2 linked regions of the Struthio camelus genome follow. The protein of the gene in region 2 interacts with the protein of the main gene of each other region in a biochemical or structural test. Links are inferred from orthologs where the notes say so. Each region holds a gene or a part of one and is shown on either strand. Other genes may lie near its edges.

Region 1 (7,608 bases), about 150 Mb from region 2:
TATAAAACACAAAAACATGTAAGCAAACAAACTAAGCTCAAATAGCACTTATGAAATTTTTTTTTCATATTTGCCCTAGGTCGTCTTTCTCACAGGTGATCAACAGTCACAAAAGGAATTTAAGTGGCTCAGAAGAAATGTGTTCCATTTCAATAAAGGCTAAAAGAAACATGAGAATTTTGAACAAAATTACGCCCTATTCACAGAACAACAATTTTCTGTTTTAAAATCAGCAGTGTAAAAGGAAAGGGCAGGAATGCCCTTGTCTCTACATATGCATCTCTGTTCTCAAAAACATTTTGAATAACTACTAACACCAACAAAAAGTAAGGGCTCCAGGGACAAAATATGCAACTTGGTACATGACTATATCCAAAATACTTTAATTGGGTTTTAAGTACCTGAAAACTCGTACAAACATTTTCTTTTCTACTTAGTACTGACCAACAGCATATCCTCACCTGGGATCAGCAGTGCAAAACTCAAAATAATCATGGGCAGGTAGAGGATGTAGCTGTTCCTCTAGTTGCTCCTTAGTTAGACAAGGAGGAAGCCGGCGAATAACTACCTGCGCATATAAAACAAAATGGACAAATATCTTTGATCTAAATACTGTGGGAAGAGACTAAATATCACGTACTATTATTCTTTAAAATTGGGAGTTTAAATTGGAACACTAGCCTCCTAGTGACTTACTTTCTTATACTTGCTGGCAGAAGGAATAATTGACCTATCTCACTTTCTGCTACATAAAACGTATAGAACAACAGACTAACACCGTAAAATTGCAGCATAAGTGAAACATTCTGATGAAGAGCTTAAAAGTCACTGTAATTTGGCTGAGAACACAAAATATTAACAAATGGGAAAAAAAATAAATATTGACCACACAAAATACTTGCATTCTCTCTTTACAAAATGATTTTGTTTAAACTGACTTTTAAGTCTTTTATTACAAAAGCATTTTATGTACATCGTCCAAAGTCTTCACTCCAGAATAAAGTGTCTGAGACTGCATGAAAACTCTCATGACAGTATAGAAAAGAGTGAAATGGTCATCAAGATTCAGATAACGTACTTCTATTTCTCAGTAATATCTGAACTTGACTTAACTTTAAGTCATGGTGACCTTCAGTGCTTTCCTTTCCCCATTTAGAAAAAGGGAATAAAACAAATCTCACAGTACTCTATATAAGTATTCTCTGAAAGATGCTCAAATAAAACCATGGAGAGAGAAGTGCTCTTGTTCTTTTAAGACCTGCTCTGCCACTATATTAGTCAATCTAAATTTTTAAAGAACGAAAGATGAAAAGACAGGCAAATTTGCAGCACTCTTGCTGAGGTCCTCAAAATACTTAAGAAAGTGAACACTCATTTTGCTGATGATGAAACAAAGACGATGTTTAAATGCTGTATTTCCTTGGAATTAGCCTCAGTGTTTAGAATAGAAGCTATGGGCCTTTCTGGGCCATGCTCTTCATTACAAATTTCCTCTGATCCTTGGACATCGCCCAACGCTTCTTAGTAAGTCTTCCCATGTTCCCTGCCCTTGCCTTCCTCTGCACTTCTCCATCTCACCTTACCTGCAAATACTTCTGTCTGCTCACCTGCCCCAGGGGTTGTTCCAGTTGGCTCAATCATGCCCATCCCCCTTTGCCCCTCTATTCCCGTCCCCAGACCCCTTCCCAAACAACCCTTACTCCCGCACTTACTCCTCAGCCCCTCTATGTACCTCTTCTGTGCCTCTCCTGATGCCCCCTGCTCAGTGATCAATCCCAAGGCACGCCACTCCCTGCACACCTATCCCCCAGGCTCACCTCCCCCCAGCTCCTAGGCACACTCCCAAGCCCCAGCCTTGCCCCCAGCCACACCCCCAGGCATGCCCCCCCAGCTTGTCTCCAGGCCCCAGGTTGGCCTCCCAGGCATACCCTCAGCCCCAGATTCACCCCCCGACACATCCCCAGCCCCACAGCACATCCCCCAGGCATATCCCCAGCCCCACAGCACATCCCCCAGGCATATCCCCAGCCCCCAGACTTCTCTCCCAGCCCCACAGCACAACCCCCCAGGCACATCCCCAGCCTCACAGCACATCCCCCAGCCCCAGAGCACAACTCCCCAGCTACATTCCTAGCCTCAAGGCTCACCCCAAGCCCCACAGCACAACCCCCCAGCCACATCCCCAGGCACACCCCAAGCCCCATAGCACACCCCCCCGGCACATCCCCAGCCCCCAGGCTCACCCCAAGCCCCATAGCACACCCCCCCGGCACATCCCCAGCCCCCAGGCTCGCTCCCAGCCCCATAGCACACCCCCCCCCCGTCACAACCCCAGCCCCCAGGCTCGCTCCCAGCCCCATAGCACACCCCCCTCCGTCACATCCCCAGCCCCCAGGCTCGCTCCCAGCCCCATAGCACACCCCCCTCCGGCACATCCCCAGCCCCCAGGCTGGCTCCCAGCCCCATAGCACACCCCCCTCCGGCACATCCCCAGCCTTGCCCCCAAGGCACACCCTCAGGCCCATAGCACACCCCCCGGGCGTATCCCCAGGCCCCCAGGCACACGCTCAGCCCCACAGCACACCCTCCCGGCACATCCCCAGCCCCCAGGCTCGCTCTCAGCCCCATAGCACACCCGCCCCGTCACATCCCCAGCCCCCAGGTTTGCCCCCAAGGCACGCCCCCAGCCCCATAGCACACCCCCCGGGCATATCCCCAGGCCCCCAGGCACACTCTCAGCCCCGAGACTCACCCTCAGGCACGCCCCCAGCCCCCCGGCTCAGCCCTAGGCTCACCCCCAGGCACAGCACAGCCCCCGGGCTCGCCCCGCGGCCCCCGCGCGGCCCCTCACTTTGCTCAGCGCCGTTTTTTTCTCCTCTCGCTGTTTACCCGGCGCCGGGTGAAGAGGCGGCGGCGGTGGCGGGGGAAGCGGCGGCGGCCCCGGCGGGGGAGGAGGCGTTGGCGGAGCCTCCGGCTCGCGGCGCGGCGACTCTCGTCTCAGCGGGACCTCCATGGGCCACTTCTCCCGGCCACAGCCGCCGCCGCCGCCGCCGCCGCCACCTCGAACTGGTCCCGGCCCAGCCTCCCGCTCGGACCTCATGGAACAACCGCCGCCGCCGCAGCCAGGCGCAAAGCTCGCGAGAACTGGCCGCTCGCCGGGTGGAATCTCGCGAGACTTCACTGAGGGGGCGGAGCGGGCTGCCCCAGAACCCCGCCCGAGCACCTCAACGGTCACCGCTGCGGGGGGGGGGGGGGGGGGGCGGGGACGGGCAGCGCCATCTCCGTCCTCATCCTCTCCATCCCCGTCCTCGTCCGCATCCTCACCCTCATCGTCATCCCCCTCCTCCTTGGCATGGGTACTTTCAGGAGCCCCCACACAAGTCCCACTTATGCCTGTGGGAAGGAGATGAGAAAGAAACTTGTCCCCTTCCCTGGCCGGGGCGCGAACCTCGCCGCCCTGGCTGCTGAGACTTGGCTGCCGGCCTCTGTCTGCCCCGGCCTCGCCTCTCCGTTGCGCAGCGGGATGGCGTACGTGCAATCCACCTCGGGGCTGGGGCCTGCTGAGGCTCAGGACACAGGGCTGGAAATCCAGGCAGGTCCTAGGGATGAAACGAGGCCGTTAGGTCAGGTCACGAGTCCTGTGCCCAAGGAGAGTTTCTGTCAATTTAGGGAAGCGCTGGCTACAGTCAGGCAACATGTCATTAGCACCCACCTCTCAGGCCATGCGGCAGGCTCCGGAGTCGTTCTGGTTGACATTTCAGCGCCCTTCTGACGAGCTCCCAGGATTTCACCTAGTGCTTTAGCTCCCACAGACAGTCACATCAGCATCATTCCCAATACATTTTCTCAAGCATTGGTGGATATTTGGCATTTGATTTATCCTATCAAATAATAAGAAGACATCAAATAAGAACATAAAAATGTTTATACTGATTCAGACAATGCCACCATCCTATCTCTGCCCATGGCAAAGTCACTGGGGAAGTCACCAATAATGAGTAGAATAAGGATAAGAACAAGTAGAATATATATTAATTTATCTTCAGACTAATCTTTCACCTGCAAGGTGTCCCTGAACTGAGACCACAAAGTGAAATAGATCTTCCATGTAGCTAGTCTAGAAGTAGTGACCCATCCATCAGATCAAGGATTACTCAGTCCTGGATTGCAATAGTGCAATTTTATGATTTCTAGTTCTAAAAAGTTTCTGGAAACTCCTGGATGATTTGGGATGTCCTAGACTACTTCTCCTAGGCTTAGTGACAGAGACACAGAAACTGAAGAATGGCTGTGGGTCATACATAGGTCATAGGCATACCACTAGACTCCTCTAAAGCAACAGAAAACAGACAGAATAAGCAAAAATGCCTACAATTTATGCAGAATACACAGGGTCAACACTGATCTTCCGATGCCGATGCTGCATTGTCAGTCCTCAAATAGATGTCCACAACATGACAACAACAAATAGTAGCTGATTTGATGTGGAATAACTCAGTACTGAAGCTGCTGAAAACAGAATCATAATTCCATCTTAACCTCCTTCTGTGTCTACTACCAGTGGCTATAGTTCATCGTCATAATTGGAAATCAGGTGACGGCTTTTCCTGGAGGACATTTTCTGATGTTTGCTGAAGTCTGATTTGTCAACACTGGTCTGTCAGGCTTCATGAATAAGAAACCTGACCACACTATCCCTAGGATGGGATATTCCAATCATCCCATTAGCCTCACCTTTGATCCTAAGAGGCAATTTTCAGCTCTAAAGATAAAAGCAGGTGGGATTGGCCAAGCAAACTCTAATGTGTTATTCCTCTTCAAATCTTTTAGCCTATAGTAGCTGGGAAGAGCATGGGAGTCAATTAGGACCATCCACAGAAATCTCTTGTGGGTTTTCAAGACCTAGTCTGACAAGCTTGCAGGCAACAGCCAGGTCTCCCCCCACCCCCACCTCAAACTGGGACAAAACTGATCCTTGCAGGAGAGAGATTAGGTTATGAAACAGAGAGAGGATGTCTCTTGTGGGGACATGTTGACAGTCTCCTCAACCTGACCACGACCTGGACCTTGTACCCACTTGCCAAAGCTAACTAAGGCAATGACCAAAAGCAAGAGTCAAAAGAACCTGAGGGCAAGTGAGGCCAGAAATAGTAATCAAAGACCTCATGAGGACAAGGAAAATACCCAGTTTGACTAGAGGCGGGTTGAAAATCAGAATAACAGAATAACCCAGAAAGACAATAAGCGCTATCTAGTACGTAGAGTCCAGGCAAGGGCAGGACAGGTGCTGGGAAGTGCAGAACACTAGAGCATAGCTGGAGCTGCAGGTACGGAAATGACAGTTGGATAAAACAAGAGCAGATCAACATACTGAACAGAAGATAGATGAGGGGATGCCCTCATGTGTGCACAAAAGACATGCATCATCAGTCATCTCGCAAGCTCTAACCTAACTGTAGTTGCCTAACAGGCTGGGAGGCAGGACAAGTCATACCAATAATTCCTCTGATGTTGTCCAGGAAAAATCATTGACAATCTAGGACACTTTGCATACATCTATTTCTAGGTAACTTTTAATGCCAACAAATGCAAGCCAGCAACAGCCAGCCAAAATACTTCAGCAGAAATCTGCGACAGCACAGTGTAATAATACGTTGTCTTTCCAGCAATACCCATTTAAGGTATTTCACCTATTCCTTCCCACTCCTACCACTCTTCCCCACTGAAAATGCTAAAACAGTTGTTTGCTATCTTTGAACCTGAGAACTGAGAAGAAAAGATTTTTAAATCAAATCAAGTTCCCTGATTTGATTCATAACATAACCTCACAAACACTTGAATTACCACAGCTGAGGTAGTGGCACAGGGAAAAGTAGATTCTTATGGGCAGGGCAGGAATACTATAAAGCAGTGTTGTCATCAGAGCCAATGTATCATCAAATCATGACTGGAGAGTACAAGAAAAAATATGAAATTTTACCAGTGTTTTAAATTATTTTGTCAATGGTAATAAAAACACCATGGGAACAAGTAAACAACATGAGTCCTGCACCCATGCCTGACATAAGACAAAAGGCCTCATTTGCTAGAAGACTTTTTAGGCAACTTGGGTATGGAAATAGCTTGTCACGATAACCTAGAAAACTAGATTTACCCAAATTAGTGTTAAAAAAGAGAGAATCTTCTAGAGAAAAAAAACAGTTCAGTTCTCTGAGAAACGGTTGGTGATAGTCTTCAGGCTGCTCTGTATGCAGCAACAAGCCTTTGCCATCTCTTTATCCACAACGTGATCTTGGTTACAAGCATTCAGTATACGTGAGCCAGAAGATAACAACAAACTACTGAAAGATCCTGTAAAGGATGAGACTTAATACAATGGCTGTTGAGGCACACTTTCAGAGTTTTAGCTAATCTTCCCAAGAAAAACTTCCAGTTTACCTTGCATATGAGAAGCCATCTGAACTACACGTAAACTATCAGATACCAAAAGAAAGCTCTTCATGAGCTTTTTATCTAGCTACATTGAAGGAATCAGACTGGACACCGGCCAGAAAACACAGACACTTCCTGAATGAGTCTCTTCCCCCACACCCTGTGCAGGTATATCTTTTCACTTTGCCTCCTGGGGAGTGTAGGACATATCCCTTCTTTTTCAGAGAATCCTGCAATTTCGGATGAAGTGTTTTTGAACCAGAAAGTAAACCATTTTCATTCTCCTTACTTGTTAATGTCTAAAGAAATATGAAGTTAGTATCGAATTCTGTGCTGGACTCAAATACTTCAATCCATAACACAGAACTGTTACTCTAGCATGTTAAACTCCCTCTGGGGCGTCACAGACCAATTCACGGTACCACTGAGACAGAACCAGGCAGTGCTAGTGCTATGTTGGCACAGGAAAACAAGGGGATCTTATGGGACCAGATAGATTTCATTCGAGTATCAGTTCTGAGAGTTCGTGGAATTTTGGCCAAAACACAAACTCTTTCCCTAAATCTTCCTCATCCAGTAGCCTTGAGTTTTAAAATGCAAGTGTATAGAGAACGTATAGTCATGTTCCATAACGCAGGGACATGAGGGAAGCAGCCACCATCCTGGACTCAAATGATGTATGCAGCCTATATTGATGCAAAGAGGTCTCCCTGACCCAGATGAGGATTCATAAGACACCAGGAAAAGAGTTGAAGAACCAAGATGTAACCAGGCACAGCCAACAGTCTAGCTGAGTAGAGCAGCAGCAGCCAGCAAGTAAAGTAAAGAAAATTAGTATTTGTGTCCTCACTAGTGACTCATCTCAGCTAATGGGGGTGCTAGGATAAACAAAGGAACACAGACCTTCCCACCTCACTGCTTCGTCCATGAAAGGGTCTCTAGCAACAGCATAGTCCTTAGGATACAGAATCTGACTATTGAAAACTGAGTGAGTCATAAGACAGATGTAATTGGACAATAAGAGGCAGCTTATATTCCAGTTCATGCAGCGCCATATCTATCAAAAAAAAAAAAAAAAAAACCACACACACCCAGAAGAGATCACAAGATCACAGTAACAACCAGTGATGCAATATTCAATTATTAACAAAATTTGAAGTAAGTTCAACATTGCCT
Region 2 (7,492 bases):
AGATTATATCCATGAGACTATTGCATGGGACTCTCTAAAAAAGCTTTATGAAATAAAATGTTTATGTTCACCAAGAAGCTAATTAAACACAAAAACAGAGCAACATATTCATTTTAAAAAAAGGGTTAGATTCCAAAAGATAAACTTGCAGCTAAGTTCAAAAGGAAAACGCTGGAAAAATGGCTGTTTGATTAAAGAAGTGCTGGAAAAACATGTTACAATTCCACTGCTCTGGCTTTTATCTTTGTTCCTCACCTGTTGGTCATGGAGCAACTTAATTATAATTTGGGGAAAAAAACAAACAGCTACATGTGCATTTTTTAGCATCATGGTCACTTACTAAAAGCAGTACTCCTCCTCGTATCACTTACATAAACTCACAATTCTGTTTTAAAGGGATGTTTGAGTCTTGCTTTTATACAAGCGAGAGAGAGAAGATGCAATAAAGAAAAGGAATGGAGCATAATCTGGTGCAGTGTGATTTCGATCCCAAAGCAATATCATCTTTCCCTCTCCCCCGAACATTCATGCCAAAGAAACCTATTTTCTAATGGATTTCTGTCATATATCACAGAACAAATATGCGTTGCAACACTCTGCGCCGCCCGCTGTGTATAGCTCTTGTCTCCCCAAACCTTCCCACTGTTCTTCCAACTCTCTTTATATCTACCAACTACTGACTGCAGGAAGCAGCCAGCGTGGTGGCTGTCTCCAAGCTATACACACACTGATTCACGGGTCAGTGCGCAAGTGCCAACTAACAGCAAAGACAGAACAGAATTGTTCATTGAACGTATGCTGCAGCCTTTCCCTCAGTGTGCATGTTATTTTAAGTCTTTTTTGTTCTTCTCAGCCATTGATTATCACAAGATCTGTAGAAAGGTTATACCTTTGAAACTTTCAGCTGTCTAATCCAGCTGAAACTGGCCAAAAGGTTCAAGAGTTATAAGATACAGAGGAAAAAAAGAAATGGACAGGCAGCAGGCTCACCTAAGTCCCATTTTCACAGGAAACCTATGAAAGAAGATAGGCTGAAGATACACAGTTGGGTCCAAATTAAGGGAATGTTAAGGAATTATTGGAAAAAAAAAAAAGGAACTTCTATGTAGTACCTAATGCTTATGTGAGCATACTGGTGAAAAGGAAAGGAGGAGAAATGAACGTCAGAAGCCAACAGATAGGAGGAACTGGTGCTTCACAGCTCAAAATTAGACCAGAGAAGACAAAAGACATGAGTTCAATGGGCTCTTGGACCACTTGCCATTGATATCTGTAGTGACATTTAGAAGTTCTGAACCTCTATCATCTTAGTTCAATCACCTATAGATGCTTTTTTTTTTTTTTTTTAAGTGAAAACTATGTTTATTTTTCCTGCCTGAACTCAAGGTTAATTAAGAGCTATTTATTGTTTTGGAATTTCTATTCCGCTTTTCACACCGATCTCACTCTACGAAAAATTGATGGCATTAGGCAACACTTAACAGAAAACATCAATGTAAGGGCTTATTCTCAAGGCTTCCAAAGGTTTGTACAAAGTATTAAAGATCAGCATCACTAATGTAACCACAAAGCATAAACACTGCCACCTTGCCTTGAACTGCTTAATTCTCTCACATCTACAAGAAGTTTATCACAGAGAGACTGCAACTGCATGAATCGGAATTGCAATCCTTATCAAAACACGCATGGGAGGAGAAATACCATTGTACAAACATCAGATACGAGGAGTGCCTGCTTTACTAAAGTTTCTCCCATTATTTTTGTACTGCTATTGGAAGTTAATTTAACCACGTAAGTATTCCTTTATGCAGCTACTCTATTAGAAAACAAGTTAGAGAGACAAACAACGCATGCAAGGGGTCCCACTTTCAAGTGTCGGGTGATGCACTTTCTAAAGGGGACGAGATTTGTCTGTTTACACTTGGAGGTTTTTCAGCGTGTTAAAAGTTTCCAGAATTGAAAAGCAATTCCGGTTTCTTCTAAAGACAAGGAAGATAAGAAAAAGATCACGGCCAACGAGAAGAAAATAAACCCAGCCGTAAGTTTCTGAAAGATGAGAGGCAGGACAGGAGAGGAAGTGGCAGCGAAGAAGCCCCCCTGCCCGCTGGCGGGGCAGCAGGCCTGCCCACCCCGCTGGGCAGTTTTACTTTCGATTCCAGGCGGCTCGGAGCCGATATTTTGCTGTCAGATCCGCGGCCGGACCCCTCTCACCGGGGAACGGAGGCCCAAAGACGAGCCGCTCTCAGCGGCCCGCGCCGCCCCCCGGGCGCCGCCGGCGCGCACCAGCTCCTCCACCACCGAGCCACCTCCGCGGCCCTGCCCTGCCCTGCCCGCTCCCGCGGCAGCCTGCGGAAACCGGCCTCGGGCCGCCTCACGGCCCCCCCCGCCGAGGAAGCCGCTACCCCGCGCCGCCTCACGGCCCCCGCCCCCCTCCCCGCGCCGCGGACCCTCTCGCCCAGGGCCGCTGGGCGCCCTGCGCTACCTCCGCCCGGGGCAAACATCGGCGCGGCCTGCCGGTGAGCGCCCGCCGCTCCTCCTCCTCCTCCGCCGCCGCCGCCCCCTCCCCTGGCGCACGAGGACCCCGCGCTCTTCTCGCCTCGCCCCGCCGCGCCGCCCACCCGCCCACAAGGAAGCGCCGCGCCGCCTACCCGCGCCGCCGCCGCCCCCGCCCCGGCCCGCTAGGCCAGCGGCCGTTCCCAGCGGCCGGCGTCAGGCAGCGCGGCGGGCAGCCCCGGGCGGGGTCCTGCAGGCGGGCGGCGGGCAGCCCCGCTCGCGTTACCGGGGCGGCGGAGGCGGAAGTGGCCGAGGGCGGGGCGGGGCCGGCTGGCCGACGGCCCTTCCGCAGCGGCGCCGCCGTGACGTCACCGCCGTGACGTCGCTTTCGGCAGTGCGGGAGGCGGTGCGTTGCGTCACGGCCGCCGTCGCGTCGGGGGCTTCCCTCATCGTTAAGCTCTGACAGCTGCCGTCACCCCCCCCCTTTTTTTTAAACTATTAACACATACGCATTTAAAATTATAAGCATGAGCTCTCAGCGAAAAATCGGCCTCGGGGTCAAAACGGTACCTTGCCCTTAGGATAACGCTGTTTTTAACGCTGTTTTAAAACGATCCTCGCGTGCCTGTTAATGCGGGTTTCTCCCTGAGCCTTGGTCGTTTCGTTGGTATCTCTCGTAAGGAGATGGCGGAGTCCTGGGGAAATGATCCTGCCTGCCTAGGGCACCCGAGCGCGGCGCTTTTACCAGAGCTCTTCCGCCGATACCGCGGTGGAAAAACAGCAATAACGGTGGCATCCTACTCAGTCAAATCACACGGTCAGACGATGTTACGGATGTTCTCTGTTGCGTTTTACGACGTAATACGTATTCCTTCCTACTGTATTTTACGGCATAACACATATCACTTTCTACTGGATGATTAACAGTCGTAGAATAGTGTCTTTGCGAGTACTCGAAGCTCCAAGACGCTCTCAGAACAGCTCTACGTTAATCAGTCAAACACAAACTTCAGACTGGCATATGTTAAGGGCTAACATATAACAATGCTTTTGTTCACAGTTTTGTTCTGATGCCTCCTGGATGATGCACTGCAGGGAGGGGAACCATAAGCAAAAAATTAAGTATACATCAAAGCGTTGAAACGTATGACTGATCTGACCTGATATTAAAATGAGTCAACAAAAATAACTGTCTCATTTCTGTATTCTACTATCCTATTATGAGTTATCAGAACGGACTGAAAAATTCTGGTATCTCCGCTGTGTCTTCCTGCTGTATCAATATTACTGTCTGGATAATATGTATGAAAGCGTTTACAATTGTTAATTTAGTTGCACAGAAACTCCAAATTTACTTGAAAGGCTCGTGATCTGCGAGTCCGGCCATGCTATTGGCTATTATCCCACCCCAAATGAGGCCAAGCTAGAAAATTCCACTCTGCACAATCCAGAATGTAAGAACATGAATCTGGTGTATAGTTCACAGTTACAATCCTGATTCTTATTTCAAGCACGGAGGTTTCTGATATGAGCCTCTGCTTCCTTACGGCAGTGTTTACACCCCTTTAGACTTAGGAGGAGCACACAAAAATATCTGACCGTGACATCAGTCCCAGGCCTGGATGTGCATAATGAAGTTATTCAGCTGTTAAAGCCACCTTTTATTCAAAAGCAAGAGTCAGCCCAAATTTAAGGCTACGTTTAATGTGTAATGATGCAGAGTTTTAGGTATACTCTGCCAATCGTTACAGCACCAGATAGTTTTTTTTTTTCCTTCCAGAAAAGAGCTCTCTTTCCTGTTGTTCCTCCTTCTTCCTTCATTACTCATTTTTGCAGACATTTCTAAAAATGTATTTCTGGAAAAGTTTATTAATGAATATTTGAAAGGATGAAGTCATGCTTGTTATTTATGTAGATCAATCAAGTGTCTTTGCTTCTCAAAGATTTTATGTACTTTCCAAATCATGTTGATTTACCAGGTTGATTGAACTGACTTATGAGAACGGAGAAGAAATCTGTGCTAAACAGAAAGACAACAACAACAAAAAACAGCAACAAAAAAGAGAAATTAAATGGGAAAGATATCCACATGTTATTGCTGGTGCTTCATTTTCCAAATACACCAGGCATATAACTTGTCAACGAATGCCTTTGAGTGAGCTGTTTTGTTCAAGTTCGAGAAGGCAGGCTCAGTGTTATCTTAGGTTTAAATTTCAGTTTCAACGGCGTGACACCAAAGCAATATTGGCTTATTTTCTTGTGAAGAATGACATTGCTGCCTTGTCTAACATGAATAAAATGCACTGTCACTAAAATTTTGAAAGCAAACAATAGCTCCTTCTTTATTCTTTCCAGAGACTATCCCACATTCCCCACCAACCACAGCTATGCTGGAACTGTCTCTTGTAAAGACGGTGCAGGTAAACCGGGCTCAATTTTTGTCTGATAGGACAAAAAGCTTTTCCTTATGAAGTACCTGTTTCATAGGTGCCTACTTACAAGCTGATCCAGTCTTCCTGCTAATCAAAAAGAAAACTAAGTAGAGGTCATTGCTTGAGTCTCAGATATAAAGCACCTTTTTCAATTGTTTAATTCTTGAAGCTCTTCTTGCAATTTTTTCAATGTTTCCTGAATTACTGGTACAAAACATGGACACAATATTTAGCAAGCAATCACATTAACGTCAAACTAGAATCCGTATGTGTACTCAATATTGCCTTGTAGTCAAATCCAGAAAACGATCCTTTTGCCAAATGAGCTGATATTCACATAACTTTTTCAGACCCATCTGTTTTATTCCCGTGACTTTTAGAGATTATATACAGTTACTGCTTCCTGAGAAGGAGCTACATTTTAGTGCACATTCTTTTTTTCCAGGTATACAAGCTTATGTCTGATTCCGTTAAAATAAATCTCATTTGCTTATGTATGAGGTCAGTATGAGATTCAGATCCAAGACAGCCTCTCTTCATCACTTACCTCCAGCTGACAGACTTTGTCAGGACTTACTTTGTGGGAAGGCCTTTCAGGTTGACATGACTACTTGAGTGCCAGCGACCACAACTCCTTTCGAACCCCTTTAGACATACCCCCAGTGGATAATGATTTTCTGTTTAAAATATTACAAGTTTAGATCTGCTGGGTAGACAGTTTTATACTACTTAATGCAGACAGCCTTGTTTTTGAACCATTCCTAGTTTCTTTAGCCAGGGCATCAGGTAGTATTGAATCAGTCCCATACAGCAGTCCCACCAGTCCCTCGGACAGCCTCCCTGGTCTCTGCCAGCACAGCCAGGCCAGGAGAGTCCCCTCGTGGAGCCGAGGCACATGAATACAGAAGCGGTGTTTCTGCTGGCATAAGTACCACTTTCTCACGCTCAGACATGAACCAAAGCCAATGAAGCCACTCTCCTATCGACCTAGATGTAATCACAGCAGGAGTTTGGCCATGTGTAGTTGTATCCCAGGCAAGATGATTACGCTGGCAAAAGTCTGCAAAGTACTACTCATTACTTTAAATCTTTATCTACCGAGCTTTGCCTCTCAGAAACAAAAAGGTTGATTTGATGAGATATTTATTCCATAAATTCATGCTTAGGGTTGATTAAAGCAATAAGTAAACCTGTATATACAAACATTCAATTACTTCCCTGGGATTGACAATCTATTACTAAACCACCTCATTTAGTTCTTTCTAAACATTAGGTAGCATTAGTGCTCTTATTCGGAAGGTGTTTCGTGTTTCAAACCTATTCATATCAGTGTTAATTGAGAAGAGAAAGACTCAGTTAGCTCTCTATCTGCTTTACAGCAAAAACATTGGTATCAGCTAGTCGACAAATATTTGCTTGAGAACGGTGGAAAAGTATTTCATCATGTGTTCTGTCTGCAATATTTGTCTTTTTCCCAAGTGCAGTACAGGAATATTTGATACAAACCTTTTCTGCCTCTTTATCGTCAACTTTGCTGTATCATGCGATGGAGCAACATTATTTTCAAGGTTCCTTTGTTCTCAGTATACATTAAAAAATAATACCTACAGCCACATTTCTACTGTGCTTTACTCGGCTGGCCACATTTCAGCTAACCTTCTATAGCAGTATCCGTTTGCCTTCTTTGCAGCATTAAAGGTCATTCGCTTCTTTTTCCTCCCAAATTGGCTTTTATAGATCTGCATATAAACCCAACCCCATACAGGCCTCAAGGAATACAAACGGCCCATCTCCCAGAACTGTAAATATCATAAAATCCCTGGTCAGCTATGGCACCGTTAAGTAATTCAGTTGCAAAATTCAGTTCCACCTGTCTCAAAACCATATAATCACTGTTTGATTTGAAGAAGAAAAATAGGCTTTTCGAGTTCCCTGTTGTGAAGGCAACCTACAAAGTAACTCTCGCCTGCAGCACCCCTGCCTCCCAGGTCTGCATTCATACAAAGTCTAGATGAAGCTTTTAGATTCTGTTACAACTTGGATTTTCTATCAGTCCCTCTCATCCTGCGCTAAAGTACAGCCCAGAACAGGAACAAGTTTTAGCTCAGAGGAGTCAGAATGAATGAAAAAATAAAAAAGGGGAAGGAAATTACTAGAAGCTGTAAAATAGAACTTAGGCTGCTGGTTTGAGTTTCACGTCCAACCTAACTCCTGGATTTTGTGGTGCGTTTTCCCGAGGCGCCGAGGTGAACACGTCTTCTTCCCAGTTTAAGCACAGCCCAGCGTATGACGGGCGCTTCGGGTGGGTCGAGATTAAACGGTGAGAGATCACGTAGCTGGTTGACCCTGTCGCGGCCTTTTCACAGGGAAGGTCAGGAGAGGAGAACATACTTCTGAAAGGATGAGAGAAACAGCCTGAGCATATACAAAGGAGAAAAGGCGCCTGCAGTACCCGAAGACCTAACACACAATTAATCTGGTCTTTTATTCCTCATTTTGCACTTCACACCGCCTTTCCGCGCTCTCAAGAAGAGCAGCGCTACGGTTAACCCCAAGACCTCGACCAC

What was found. The genes of interacting proteins can lie anywhere in the genome.
Region 1: the proteins of UPF2 (region 2) and UPF3A form a complex in vitro, tested with the Homo sapiens proteins (2 studies listed by IntAct, with this or other methods). The link is inferred for Struthio camelus from reciprocal best matches to the Homo sapiens genes UPF2 and UPF3A.

Annotation. Positions count from the first base shown.
Region 1 is NC_090942.1:156,043,321-156,050,928, forward strand, and holds the start of UPF3A (regulator of nonsense transcripts 3A), read right to left. Parts: upstream 3,130-7,608; 5' UTR 3,101-3,129; coding exon 2,852-3,100; intron 569-2,851; coding exon 462-568; intron 1-461. UniProt on the Homo sapiens protein: Involved in nonsense-mediated decay (NMD) of mRNAs containing premature stop codons by associating with the nuclear exon junction complex (EJC) and serving as link between the EJC core and NMD machinery.
Region 2 is NC_090942.1:7,366,072-7,373,563, forward strand, and holds the start of UPF2 (regulator of nonsense transcripts 2), read right to left. Parts: upstream 3,164-7,492; 5' UTR 3,064-3,163; intron 2,778-3,063; exon of another isoform or gene 2,649-2,777; intron 2,632-2,648; exon of another isoform or gene 2,483-2,631; intron 1-2,482. UniProt on the Homo sapiens protein: Involved in nonsense-mediated decay (NMD) of mRNAs containing premature stop codons by associating with the nuclear exon junction complex (EJC).